2 linked regions of the Notamacropus eugenii genome follow. The protein of the gene in region 1 interacts with the protein of each later gene in a biochemical or structural test. Links are inferred from orthologs where the notes say so. Each region holds a gene or a part of one and is shown in the gene's direction. Other genes may lie near its edges.

Region 1 (7,626 bases):
TCAGGTCTGGTCTTTTCATCAAGAATGCTTGAAAGTCCTCTGTTTCATTGAAAGACCATTTTTTCCCCTGAAGTATTATACTCAGTTTTGCTGGGTAGGAGATTCTTGGTTTTAGTCCTAGTTCCTTTGACTTCTGGAATATCCTATTCCACACCCTTCGATCCCTTAATGTAGAAGCTGCTAGATCTTGTGTTATCCTGATTGTATTTCCACAATACTTGAATTGTTTCTTTCTAGCTGCTTGCAATATTTTCTCCTTGACCAGGGAACTCTGGAATTTGGCCACAATGTTCCCAAGAGTTTCTCTTTTTGGATCTCTTTCAGGCAGTGATCTGTGGATTCCTTGAATACTTATTTTGCCCCCTGGTTCTAGAATCTCAGGGCAGTTTTCCTTGATAATTTCTTGAAAGATGATGTCTAGACTCTTTTTTTGATCATGGCTTTCAGGTAGTCCCATAATTTTTAAATTGTCTCTCCTGGATCTATTTTCCAGGTCAGTTGTTTTTCCAATGAGATATTTCACATTATCTTCCATTTTTTCATATTTTTGGTTTTGTTTTGTGATTTCTTGGTTTCTCATAAAGTCATTAGCCTCCATCTGTTCCATTCTAATTTTGAAAGAACTATTTTTTTCAGTGAGCTTTTGAACCTCCTTTTCCATTTGGCTAATTCTGCTTTTGAAAGCATTCTTCTCCTCATTGGCTTTTTGAACCTCTTTTGCCAATTGAGTTAGCCTATTTTTCAAGGTGTTATTTTCTTCAGCATTTTTTGGGTCTCCTTTAGCAAGGTGTTGACCTGCTTTTCATGCTTTTCTTTCATCTCTCTCATTTCTCTTCCCAGTTTTTCCTCCACCTCTCTTACTTGATTTTCAAAATCCTTTTTGAGCTCTTCCATGGCCTGAGCCCATGTATATTTATTTTGGATGTGTGGGATACAGAAGCCTTGACTTCTATGTCTTTCCCTGATGGTAAGCATTGTTTTTCCTCATCTGAAAGGAAGGGAGGAATTATCTGTTCACCAAGAAAATAACCTTCTATAGTCTTATTTTTTTTTTCCCTTTTCTGGGCATTTTCCCAGCCAGTAACTTGACTTCTGAGTTTTCTTTCCTCACCCACCTTGCCTCCAGATCCACCCAGCCAGCAGGGTCTGAGATTCAAATGCTGCTTCCCAGCCTCAGGGCTTTGGGTGCGAGCGGGGTTGCTATTCAGTGTGAGATTAAGTTCAGGTGCTCAGGTGGGGGCAGGGCCGCCACTTGGGGCTCAGTTCCCTCAGGGAGTTTATGTGGAGATCTTCAACAATGAATCCGGGCTCCTGCCTGCTTGGGGAGCCCCTGTCTGCTGCTGCCCCTGCTGCTGTCTCCCAAGGGGGCCTGAGTTATAGGGACACCCCACTCCCCTCCTGGCCAGCCAAAGAGACCCTCTCACCAACCCTTGTCACCTGTGGGTGAACGGACCCGTGTGGCTGCTGGAGATTCTGTCCCTGAAGCCTGCTCGGATCTGCTCCTCTCCGTGCTATGGCCAAGGCAGGGCTGGGCTCTGCTCTGGGTCTGGGGCATGGCAGACCTTTCACATCGGTTTTTCAGGGCTCTCTGGAACAGAAATCTCATCTGCTCCGTTGTTCTGTGGCTTCTGCTGCTCCAGAATTTGTTGGGAGTTCTTCTTTACAGATATTTTATGGGCTGTGGGTTTGGAGCTAGCATATGTGTGTCTTTCTACTCCGCCATCTTGGCTCCTCCCCCCTCAAGTATTCTTTAAGTCAAATTAGCAAAGGTTTATTGTAACACCAATATAGAGGGCAGAGCTTCATGCAACTTAACAGGAATGATGCTAAAACTTATATAGGAAAAGTAATGGATTATCTGGCAGATATGCTAATTAGATGATAACTTGCAACCTTGGTCACTGGCATCATTCACTACTGGAAACCAGGGGAAGAGGTTTTTAAGGGGTGTATTTTTGGTGTTACATCTGTGGTAAGGTAGCTTTGAGAGTTGATTTCTATAACTTGACCTCTGGATTGAATATGATAACTTTGGGAATCAATACATGATAATTCTGTGGTTACAAGATAGTCCTGTTTTTACAACAGAATTTCTTCAGAGGTCAGCTTGTTCTTGTGATGGGGAAAGATAGTTTGTCTTCCTGGGGCCCACTCGTGAGTTATTGCTAGGCATACTGTCCTTGGGCTGGGGAGAAAACTCTTAGTGTTTTGAAGCTGGGGAGAAATGTGATCTTGGAAATGGGGCCCGAGCATAAGCACCCCATCAGAAACACAGTTTGTTCTGGGCTTTGAAGAACCTGTAGGGCATGAAAAAAATTTAGGAAAGTATTTTAGAAATTCAATTCCATTCAACGATCAGATGTGAGTAAACATACCAAGAGATAGCCATGCGCCTGGTGTGTTAAGGGTGAAAAAATGAATTGACCCATAGAGTTAGTGTTGAACAATACTGACAAATAAGATTTCAGAGGTAGAGGCCAGATTATGATGAGCCTTGAATGCTAGGCTAAAGATCTGGAACTTTGATAGTGGACTATTGCAGAAATTTTTTGAATGATATATAGATAATGGTGTTTTTTATAAAAATTTTTATTGGAGCAGTGTGTAAGATTGATGGGATTAGGGAGATGTCAACTCCATAGAGTAGTCTTTACCTTAGATGTTATTGCCCTCTATTTATGTGTAAAAGTTGTAAAGAAACATGTGGAAACCGAGCTCAATGTCCCCATCCCCCCCCTTCCCCTCCTAATATTACAAAATAATATTAGGAGCATACTTTAATCTAAAGTTTTAAAAGTCTTTCTTTAATTGTTAATCCTGAAACAATGTCCTACACTGACATCTTTCAAAAATCATTTTCATTGAAAACCCAATTAGTTTCTACAGAGAAAAGCCTGATTAGTCAAGGACTCCTGCTTGAAGTAATTAGCACAATGATTTATGAGAAGGAAGTTTTTTTTAAATTCAATTGATAGAAATGTCTCTTCACTTGAGTTCACCAGTAACTGATCATCTGCCGTCTATGAGTATCTAAGCCCAAGAATCCCAGAAATGACAAGACCCCCAGACCATCAGTTTGGTTTCCAACCCAGCCTTCACCTCAGTCATTCCAAGACTTCTCTCTCCTCTATCCGAGGACATATAGCAACCGCTTCTGTGGATGCTGCAACCACAGCTACTTAATACCAAGAAAAGAAGATTATTGTTTCCAAAATCTTTGACCCTGTTAAATTGTTCAGCATGACAAAGTGATATGAGTTAATCAATGGAAATGACACTGAACATGATGCATTACCATATGCTTCACCATTACAACCTAAGGACCTAGGACTTTCCTATCTGACTTGGAGCTGAAACTTATCTATACGTTCTTCCCCATTAGAATGGGAGCTCCTTGAAAGCTAGAAATGTCTTAAATTTTTATTTGTGTCCCTATCCCTAATTCAGTGCTTTGCAATATAGTAAGTTTTTAATAAATGGCATTCATTCGTTCCTTCACTTTTGATCATGAGTAAAAGACAGTCCTTAGAGGCAGTGGTTAAAGAGGGACTGAATGCTGTTATATCACTGGACTTGATCCATCTGAGTGTTACCTACATTCTGTTCCTTAAATTCTGAAATTTGTTTGATCTTGACTGTGAAATTTTGTCTTTGTTTCTGAAAACTATAAAATGTATGAAGAGCTTGCCTGGGGAGGGGGAGTTTCAATTAGCAGGGGTAAATGTGCCATTTATCTCTCCTTCCAACTAGCAGAGAGAGTGTGTGTGTGTGTGTAGGTGTACATACACACACATACATTTATATATGTGTGTACAGCTAACATTCATCTAGCGCTTCAAGGTTTGTGAAGTACTTTGTATATGTTACTTCACTTGGTCCTCATGACAACCTTGTGAGGTAGACGTTATTTTTATCCTCCTTTTTATGAATAAAGAAACTGAGGCTGAGAGAGGTAGGAGCTTTGCCTGAAGTCACAAAGCTAGTAAGTGTCTGAGGCTGAATTTGAACTCAGGTCTTCCTGACCCAAGTCTAATAGTCTATCCATTGTACCACCATATACATTAATAAAATGTCTCCGACAGATCTGAAGTCTAAAAAGAAAGTACTTTTTTCTGAAAAAGAGGGAGGCAGAGAGAAAGAGGGAGGAGGAGGGAGATGGAGAGCTCTTCCACCTACCTCTCACGCTGCAGTGCGCTCTTTACAGACTTTCACCCAGCTGTCCAAATTTTCCTGCATCACTTTCCCGAACCCATCACTGCATCTGTTGGGAACAGAAGCGCTGACGGCTTGTATACGTCTTTCACGGACTTGAAGCCTTTCTCAGTCTTCTCTAAAGCAAGCAAGGGAAGTTGGGGAATCTTAAGTCAAATCGGGAAGGGCCCTGGGAGATCGTTTAGCCCCGCTCCTGTATCTTATCAAGGAGAAAATGAAGGTCTCCGTAACCGGCCCGGCCCGGAGGGGAGTCTGGGGCATGCACCCGGGGCTGCTAGAATTAGGATCCTGGCGGACGCGGGGGCTCTGCCTCCTACTCAGCGCAGAGCTGCTGCTCGCTCCTTCACCCAATAAAGACCTACTTTATTTTGCCTCTGAATAGGCAGGTCTGCATGAATTGTCCGTATATACGTTCCTCCCCAGCCGCAGCCTGGCTCCGCCCCTCTCTTCACGCACGGAAGCTCTGGAAGCCGGGAATCGAAACAGAAATTGTCCCGGTTCAGACTTTAAAAACTAAGTTCCCCGCAGGCCACCAGGCGGAAGCTTGGCCCCGCGGACAGCCGGCGCTTGGGCTGTGGGACGAGACAGGTGGTGTCACCGCGACCGGGGGCCCTGCCGGTCCGAGCCGAGCCGGTAGAGCTGCCCAGGGAGCTCTCCTTGTGTCCGCGGGCAGTCCTGGCGGAGCAGGGCGCCAGGGCACTCAGCGCCGCGCAGGCCGGCCAGCCGGAGCCATTCCGGTAAAACCCACGGTCCGCGCCGAGGCAGGACGAAGAGGGAAGGGCTCGCAGGAGCGCGCCGAGGGCCCCTGGGCTGCCCACGACCCGGGCGAGATGTCGAGGGAGCATTCCCCGGAGGAGACCTTCCGCAGTCTGCTCCTGTGCTTCAGGCCCAGGCTGAAGCGGTACATCCGAGTGGAGCCGGTGCTGGACTACCTGACCTTCCTGGGAAGAGCGGAGAAAGAGCAGATCCAGCACGTCGCGGCCTCGGAGGGGAACACGGCCGCGGCCGAGGTCCTGCTGAGCACCCTGGAGAGAGGCACGTGGGGGCCCGGCTGGACCCGGGAGTTCCTCACGGGGCTTCAGAACGGGGGCTGCCCCTTGGCGGCTCGCTACGTGAGCCCGGACCTCGCCGACCTGCCCTCGCCGTCCTTAGAGACCTGTCACGACCGGTGCGTCCAGCTGCTGGACCTTCTGCAGCCCACCCTGGTGGACAAGCTGCACGCCGCTGATGTGGTGGACAGGTGCTTGGAGAAGGATCTGCTGACGAAGGAAGACCGGAACCGGGTAGGTGCCTCCTCAGAAAGAGCCCTCTCCTGCCCCCGGTGTGCACACCTGTGTGCGCGCACCTGTGTGCATTCTGGGGCACCTCTGACCGAGTTATTCCTTGAGAACCCGATAGCTCACCTGGCCAGGTGAAAAGACAGCCCAGTTCAGATCTGGTCTGCCTCTGCGATCTTGGGCAGATCACCCGATCTGTGTGTGCCCCAGGAGGGAGCTGGGCGAGATGGCTTCTGAGGCGTTCGTCCACTTGGAAGTTTAGGATCCATGACGCGAGAGAGCTGTTCTCTTACTTCATCCCTGCCCCTTCCCCCCCCTGCCAAATAAATATTGATTAGACATAAAAGGTTATCAAAGACAGACTTTTTAAAGTGGGGGCATTTTGCTTCTGAGGATGTAAGAGAATGACTCTGTAGCTAGCTGTACTCAGGGCTTCATGATCCCTGTCCAGTCCCATCTTTCAGTATGAGCAGTGGTTATGTGGTAGCTTATGTCATGAAAAACTCATAATACAGACATTTTAATGAGAATGTTTGGTATTTTAAAAACGGAAAGGGAGACGTTCCTATGTTGCAGGAATCAGTGTGCCTTTTAACAGGTCAAAGATGCCACACCTCTCTGACGTATTGAGTAAGAGCTCTGCCTTTGGTTTCAGTATGGAATCAATGGCTTATATAGTTTTATACTCACTTTTAAAATTTATCTTATTTTTATGTCACTTAAGTTTACTCCATTATCTTGCCCAATCCTTCCCCTCCAACTTATATAACAATTAGAAAAGTAAGAAAAAAAACATCAATTAGGTAATGACTGTACCCCTTGTGGGGGTACAAGCAGGATGATTTCAGAAAAACCTGGAAAGATTTACATGAACTGATACAAAGTGAAGTGAGCAGAACCAGGAGAACATTGTCTACAGTAATAGCCATACTGTATGATGATCAACTGTGACTGACTTAGCTATTCTCAGCAATACAGTGATCCAAGACATTTGCAAAGGACTCGTTATGAAAAATGCTGTTCGTCTCCAGAGAAAAAACTGATGGTGTCTGGATGCACATAGAAGCATACTGTTTTTTATCTTATTGTGTTACTGTTATTTGGGTTAGGGGGGAGATCTGTAGAGTTTTTTTTCACAGCATAACTAGTATGGAAATATGTTTGATATTGCACATGTCTAATTATGTCAAATTGCTTTCTCTTTCAGAGAGGAGGGAGGGGAGAGAGGGAGAAAATTTAGAACTAAAATTAAAACAATGTTAAAAATTGTTTTTACATTAGAGAAAATATTCAAAGAAAAAATCAAACCTAATCAATGAAATTTTTAAAAAATGTGACAATATATTCAGTATTCCATACTTGTGAACCTCTCCACCATCTTTGCAAAATATTGAGAGAAGATGGATTTTTTTAATAGCTTCTTTGGGGCCAAACTTATTCTTTGCAATTTTACAGCATTCGTTTTCAGTTATTTTGTGGTTCTGTCCATTTACCTTGTAGTCATTGTGTAGATTTTCCTGGTTTTGTTTATTTTACTTTTTATCATGTTCATGTAAGTCTTTCTATGCTTCTCTGTATTCACCACATTCATCATTTCTTACATCGCAGTCATATTCCATTATGTTTGTATAACATAGTTTGTTTAGCCATTCCCCAGTTGATAGGCATCACTTGTTTCTCATTTATTTTTGTACTATGTGTTAGATACTGTGCTAAATGCTAGGAATACCAAAAAAAAAGGCAGAAGATAGCTCCTGCTCTTGAGAAGCTCACAGTTTAATAGGGGAGACAAAATGCAAACGGCTATGTATGGGATAAAGTGGAAATAATCAAGAGAGGGAAGGCACTGAAATTAAGGGGGAGTCAGGAAAGCCCTACTCCTGTAGAAAGTAGGATTTTAGCTGAAACTTGAAGCCAGTGAAACAGAGGTAGAGATGAGAATGGGGATTGGTATGGTATGGGGGGTGGGGGTGGGAAATGCCTGGAGTCTGAAGATGGAGTAACTTGTTTGAGGAGCATCAAGAAGGCCAGAGTTACTAGAGCTCAGATTATGTGGAGGGGACTAAAATGTTAAAAGGCTGAAAAGGTCAGAAGAGATCAGGTTATAAAAAGACTAAAAACCAAACAGAAGATTTCT
Region 2 (7,224 bases), on another chromosome or scaffold:
AGGAGGAGAGGTTTAAAATTAAAAATGTTGATAAGTAGTACTAGTTGCTTTCTTTTGGCTGGCACCTTATGTGGTAGTATCATCACTCATCTTAGCCTTTCCCTTGGCAATGCTTTTGGCTTCAACCCTTGTGGAAAATGGTTTTTTGGTTTTTTTTATATAAAATTTTAAATATGTGTGTGTGTGTGTATTTACATTACCTACCTCCACTTCCTCCCAAGGAGTCATTCTTTCTTTGAAACGAAGTATGAAGAAAGAAAAAAGTTTCACAGAACTAAAAAACATATCTAAAAAAAGCCCCTTAACATTATATGCCCATGGTCTGCCCCATCTGTAAAAAGGGAGGTCTTTTCATATCTCTTCTTTGGGGCCAAGCCCACCATTTTTAATTTTGCAGCATTCATTTTCAATTGTTTTCTTGTTCTTTCCACTTACATAGATATACTCATGGTGTATGTTGTTCTCTTGCTTCTACATATATCCTGCTAATGCTTACTTTGCATCAGTCCCTTTCTTTCCACACTTCTCTCTATTCATTATGTTCATTATTTCTTGTAGCCCAGTAATGTTCAATCATATTCATATGCCAGTTTGTTTACCTCTTCCCCAATGGATGAGCATTGTTATAGTTTACCTTTAGTTATAGTTTACCTTTCAAACATACCAAAAGAAGAAAAAAATAGAATAGAATATGTTTGAGAAAACTGCTCCAGAAGGTTACTCTTTCTTAGGAGTGGGGAACTTGTGGCCACACTTGAGGACCCAGAGGGCCACATGTGGCCTTGAGGCCACAGATTCCCCAACCCTGCTCCAGCTCTAAATCATTTGCTTTCCCTCTTCAAAACTACTTCAGGCTCACTGGGTCTAGGTTTTGGCTCAGATTCTCTTGCTCTTTTCTGTTTTGGAAAAGGTATACAAACATGTATCAGTAAAATCTCTCTTCTTGCTCCAGACTTCCATTTTTATCTGGAGAATGGCTCCCAGCATCAGCTAAAATCTATGAAGCTCTTTCACAGACTATACTCCTTTTCTCAGTTATATTCCAACCCTCAAAGATAAACACTGATCAGTACTTCAATGAATGACCATGCAGTATTACAGAAATGGTTTCTTTTCAAACAAATGGCAAAACAGAAAACAAAACAAGTTCTTAAGAAGATTGGGTAACTTTCTTTCTACCATGCCTTTGCCTTCCCCAGGTAGGAAGGGAAGGAGAAATCACCAGACATGGGGCTATCCCTCTGAGTGAGCTCAGCAAAACAGGATCCTATGGCCCAGGAATCTAAAATTATTGAGTTTAATGGTGATGCTCTGTTTTCATTTCAGTGATGATGAACACTATGCTTTCCTGGTTTCCCGATACAGCTTCCCAATGTACCTCCTGCTCCACCATTACCCTTGTATCTGCCTTTCTGATGCTTTATATATCCCAGGGCTGTGCCTATTTCCTTCTTTTTCCTCAGAAGAGAAACTCTTACTGGTCAGTCACAGCCTTCTCTTATCAGTCCATGTGAGGGTTCACTTTGTGAAGACTGAAGAGAGAAACAATTTAAGGATTTCTGTCCCCACCAGAAACTTTTTTCTTCTCCATACTTTGTTTCAAGGAATGGCTCCTTAGGAGGAAGTGGAGGTGTGTGTGTTCATCCTCCGTTGCTGAAGAAGACCATGCCATCAGAGAAATGATGACGTGACTTGCGCTTGACTTTGTTTTGAGTGAGGGAGGGCTGTGCAGGTCACCAGCCTCACTTTCTCCTCCTGAGCCATCTGGATCCAGTGACCAGATATTCATCATTAGGTGAAAGAACTGCAGCCCGGTTCCACATTGGCTGTGGACCAACATTTTGGATCAACTCATTCCATGACTACATCTATGTAAGTGGGAAGAACAAGAAAGCAACTGAAAGTTGTGAGACAGCAAAACGTTAAATTTCCACAGTAAGTTATTGTTGATTGATGAAGTCATTGAGAATAAATTAGATAATAAGAGTTGACCAAAGGTGAACTCAATCAGTCCAAAGACAGACAGTGGCCTTCAGAAAATTACAAAGTTTTTGAGGAACCAAATCAACAGTTCGCTGGAACTAACCAAGAAAAATGACCTAGAGTTACCTGGAGAAGGCTTTTCTTCACTGCACTTGCTTAATGAACTTCATGCAGATAAGCAGACACATCACGCATAAAATTATCCCTCCATTTTCTGATCATGTTTGGGAAGGAGAATTACACTAAGCGGGGTTACATAGTGGGCATGTAGAGAAGATGGTGACCTACTAGAAAATGGATCAATCCATCTCCTTATGGGAGGATCTGTCTTGAACTAACAATATATAGCTCATCTGGCAAGAGTTGGAAAGGATCTTAGAGGTCATCTAAAATAACATTTGTAAAAGGAGTCCAAGGTTACAAATGGGGAAAATGGGACCCAAAAAGAAAGTTATTTGCCCAAGGTTTTGTAGCTAACTAGAGGCAGAGTTGTGGAGAGTCAAAGTCTCCTGGATTTCTGCCCAGTCCTGTTTTCAACCTACTCAGAAAATCTCTTCTCTTTCAAGGACTCAACAATGATACTGAGTAGTGGTAGGGGCCAGCTTTGGCCAAAGTATTCAATTCCTCTGAACTCTGCTGAGTGTGTTTCTAACAAAAGTGAATGCTACAAACTTAAAAATGATGGGGTTGGCCCCAAAGAAGAGATATGAGAAGACACTCTCCCACCCTCTTTACAGACATTGGTGTTGGGATACTACATATAATGTTAAGATTTTTTTTTTTGGATGTTTTTTAGTTTGTGAAACTTCTTTCTTTCTTCATTTTGTTTCAAGGAATGGCTCCCTGGAAGGAAGTGGAGGTATGTTATGTAATACCCGCACCTGGTATCCATTTTCATTGTGTATATCTCCTTGATATCCGAAAGGACACTACAATTGCAAAGCCCTCTAGCTTTCTTGTGCTAAAGCTAGAGGATGTGCTATGAGAGAAAAATGTCCCTTCTTTGAATTTGTGGTAGGTTACTGCTGCTGAAATAAATCTACTGCAGAAATTATACAGGCAATGTCTTAGGTTTTATTATGCTTAAGCACAGGTTCAGGATTTAAAAAAAAATAACCCTGAACAAATATTAGGATTCTAATAAGACTTTTTAGAGACAAAATTACATTACAGAGGCAGAAAAATAATTTGTTTGCATATTGCAATCTCATACATCCTCTTAGACCATAAAAGATGAAAAAGACAGCTATATGATCCCATGCTTCCTTCAGTGTTAAAAACATTGAACAAACTTAGTTAAGCAGAATCATATTCTCATACTTTCCTAAGGAAACAACCACTTGGGATCCTTCATCAAATAACTACATCACTTTTGGAAGGTCAGACTCCCCTTTGACTTCTATCTGAGTAATGTCAAATAGTTTTTAACACTATCGTGAATCAAGTTTTAGTCAGGTGAGGTTAATATTAACAGAAGACAGGCTTTTAGTTAACCAAAAGTTGCAAAAGGAATGGCCCTGAGCTCCAAATGTTAAAAAGTAATGAAAGAAAAGCAAAATTTCTCATAACAGGTGTTTTGATCTAAAGGGAGAAATTGCCTTTTTTTCTTACTGATAATAAAGATTTATTTTATAACACGAAAATTATTTTATAAATGTGAAGATGTAAAGGATTTTATCAATACATGTCTGTATGTTTGCTTTATTATTTTGTTGTATGTAATTTGTTAGAAAATTGTTCTGGATGTTTTCTCTAACTGTCCCCCGTGCCTGAAATGCACTCCCTCCCCATCTCTGACTTTTGGAAATACTGATTGCCTTCCAGATTCAATTCAAGCTTAATTTTTTGTATGAGGACTTTCTGGGTTCCCCTAGAGGCTACTGCCTTCCTTTGCAACTCCACCCTTACCCTCCCCCCCCCCCCCCAACATCATCCCATTTCCTTGGGTCTGTTTTGTATATTCTTGTACTGCATTGGCATTTGAATGAAAGTGCTTTGAGGCTAGGGAAAGTTTTACTCTTGTCTTTGTATCTTCAGGGCTAGGCACATAGTGCTTCATAAATGGCTGCAGAAAGAGCAGGGACAGGGATGGCTGCCATTTGTCGTTAGCCCTGAGTGACCATCCAGCCAAGGATAGGCAGGTCAGAATAACAGAACAGGAAAGACCGGGAGGAAGAGGAGGTACATGAAGCAGAAGATGATTGACAGGGCTCTGGGCAAGAGCAAAGTAAGGAGGAGACAAACAGGAAGTGGGTGGGCAACTGGGAGAGGTTAGAAGCCAGACTTTAGGAGAAGAGAAATTTGGTCAGACTCTAAATCTAGTCCGGACTCCGGGGTGTGGTGGTTGGTAGCTTCTGAAAGCACACTTCTGCACCCCATGACTTGCCCCCCACCCCTACCCTAAGGGGGAGGAGAGATCCTACGGAAGGTTACCCAGCCCAAGCCTCAAAGGAGGGGAGAAGCCCGGGAGAGCGGGCCGAGCCCTCTGTTCTTCTCTCTGCACGCTGCGAGAAACTGCCAGTTCCTAGCTGCACCCCCAGAACTCTCCTTCCTGGGGCCTGAAGCTTCTCCCTCCTCTGGCCAGAGCGAAGGAATGGCTGCCTTGCAGCTGGAGGAGAAGCTGGTCTGCGCAATCTGCCTGGAGCTGTACCGGGAAGCGGTCACTCTGCCCTGCGGCCACAACTTTTGTCGGGCTTGCATCGAAGACTACTGGCGCAGACAGGAGGTGGACTGCCCCCAGTGCCGGACCCCATTCACGGAGCGCCCGGCGCTGCACAAAAACGGGGCTCTGTGCGACGTGGTGGAGACCCTCCGGGCCACCGAAGGGCAGCTGGCAGTGGGGGAGCCCGTGCCCTGCCCGAGCGGGGCAGCCCGGTGCCCCCGGCATGGGCGAGCCCTGGAGCTCTACTGCCGGACCGAGAAGTTGTGCATCTGCTGCGCCTGCACGGTGGGCCAGTGCCAGGGTCACCAGCGCGCCCTGCTCGATGTGGAGCGCAAGGAGCAGGAGGTGAGGGTGCAGGAGGGGTGGGCAGAGCCAGGACAGTGTGGACCGAACCTCCACGCAGCCCGCCCATTCCCAACCACAGCCTGACCCAGCTTGCGAAGGCGGCAGTGGAACGCAGTGGCTAGTGGAGCGCTAGGCTTGGAGTCGGGGAGACCGGAGCTCACATCCCGATGCAGACTTGACTAGCTGTGTGATCCGGGACGAGCCATTAGCCAGTGTCAGCCTCAGCTATCCCATCTGTGAAATGCTGATAACACACACACAGGGTGTTATTCTGTAGATCCAATGAAATGGAACATGCATAAACACCATCATTTTTTGATCGCCTACAATAAATGGGCCAGGTGCTGAAAATACAAAGATACAACACCAATCCATACCTGCCCTTCAAAAAGTTTACCTGATTACGTTTTAAAGTTGTGTGTGTGTGTGTGTGTGTGTGTGAATCCATCAAAATAAACTAGAAACACCCTTGGCTATGTAAGAGTCATTTAGTGAGTATATATTAATGAGTCTCCAGTTCCTTTAGTGACTGTCAAAGACATCCATAATGATCCAGGACATTTTCTGCACTTAATCTAAAACCTATGATTGTTTTCTCATAGAAAACTGTGCTCACCTGAGTAAGGTACCAAGACTTAGTATCTTGAATTGGTCCACCAGCTCAGTGACACTCACAGCCAAAATGTATAACAGAAGAAAAAAAAGTTGCTCTGAAAAGACAATTATTTTCCTTTTAAATATGTAGCTTCTTGTGTCCAAAATCCCAGGCATAAATATTTACATATATATATTCTCTATAGAGATGTATATATACATGTATATATCTATCTACTTATATACATCTGTGTTTATACGCATATCTGTCTATGTAATGTGCATATATACATATATAGATCTCTAGATCAATACAGATTTTTTATATATGTATTGATAGATATCAAAATCGATATCTATATATACCTATGTTGATTTATATATCAATATTGATATTTACCTATATATCTATATTGAGAGATATATATCTATATTGAATATATGTATCTACCATTATATCCACCTATATATTTATACAACTATCAATAGTGATATCTATATTGATATTTATCTCTTTATATATTTATATAAAGATCTATATCTATCTGTAGGTCTATCTATATATCTATATCTAGCTAGCTACAGAGATAGATAGATATAGATATATATGAAGAGGAAGAGACCGCTCACACATCAGGAAACCAGCAAAGCACTTAAGTTGAACCTTGCAAGAAGCTAGGGATTCTAAGAGGCTGAGGTGAGGAGGAAATGCTTTCCAGGCATTCCAGGGGAGGAGAAGGATCGTCAAGAAAGACCCTGAAGTCGCACGCAGGTCAGGGAGCTACGGGAGGATGGTCCCTTATCAGAGACAAGGAAGTTGGGGCGGTGGTCGGAGACGCCTAGGGGGCACAGTCAGTAGGAAATGGCCATTAGTTAGCTGGGTTGCTGGTGGTGGTGTATTCATCCTTCCTTCTCAAAGAGGACCAATGATATTACCAAAGATGAATTCTTGACTTGCACATGAATTGGATTTAAGTGAGGGGCCCAAGATGCTGTTTGTGAACCTTGAGATCTTTCCCAGGTCTCAATTTGCCTGAGGCCACAAGACCATTCAATAATTAAGAGGTAAGATCTGGGACAAAAGATGGCCCAATTTACTATTACCAAAATATCAGTCTGGGAGGTGAAGACCCTCCAAGTTTCTACCAGAACAGACAACCGTTGCCTTTTACATTCATTTAAAGCCATCCAAACCTAAACAGTGAGCCACATAATCAGAGATTATGAAAACTGTTGGAAAGCATTTGAGCAGGACATGGAATGGTGAGTTCAGGAAATAACAAGTTAGCCAGTTTGCTTGTCTCTTTGTGCTAATTGATTAGATTTTCAGGGAGTGTTGGGTCTTGGAGTTAGGAGGGGAGAGAAATGATAAGAGATGAGCCAGGATCCTTTCCTTTTGCCTAGACCTGGTGCTGAGATTAGGAAGTCATAGAGATGGTTTACATATATTTAGCACAAGGTTCTTTTTTTTTTAAGTTTTTTTAAATTAAATTATTTATTTTCAGTGTTCTACAATCACTTCCATGTATCTTTGATTTTTTTCCCCTCCCTCTCCACTCCCTTCCTGAGATGGTGTACAATCTTATATAGGTTCTACACATAACATTCCTATTAAATACATTCTCACCTTAGTCATGTTG

The links.
Region 2: of the proteins of IFIH1 (region 1) and TRIM65, one has a biochemical effect on the other in vitro, tested with the Homo sapiens proteins (2 studies listed by BioGRID, with this or other methods). The link is inferred for Notamacropus eugenii from reciprocal best matches to the Homo sapiens genes IFIH1 and TRIM65.

The regions. Positions count from the first base shown.
Region 1 is NC_092876.1:221,886,399-221,894,024, reverse strand, and holds the start of IFIH1 (interferon-induced helicase C domain-containing protein 1), read left to right. Parts: upstream 1-4,604; coding exon 4,605-5,499; intron 5,500-7,626.
Region 2 is NC_092873.1:342,108,696-342,115,919, reverse strand, and holds the start of TRIM65 (E3 ubiquitin-protein ligase TRIM65), read left to right. Parts: upstream 1-4,209; 5' UTR 4,210-4,576; coding exon 4,577-4,990; intron 4,991-7,224. UniProt on the Homo sapiens protein: E3 ubiquitin ligase that plays a role in several processes including innate immnity, autophagy or inflammation.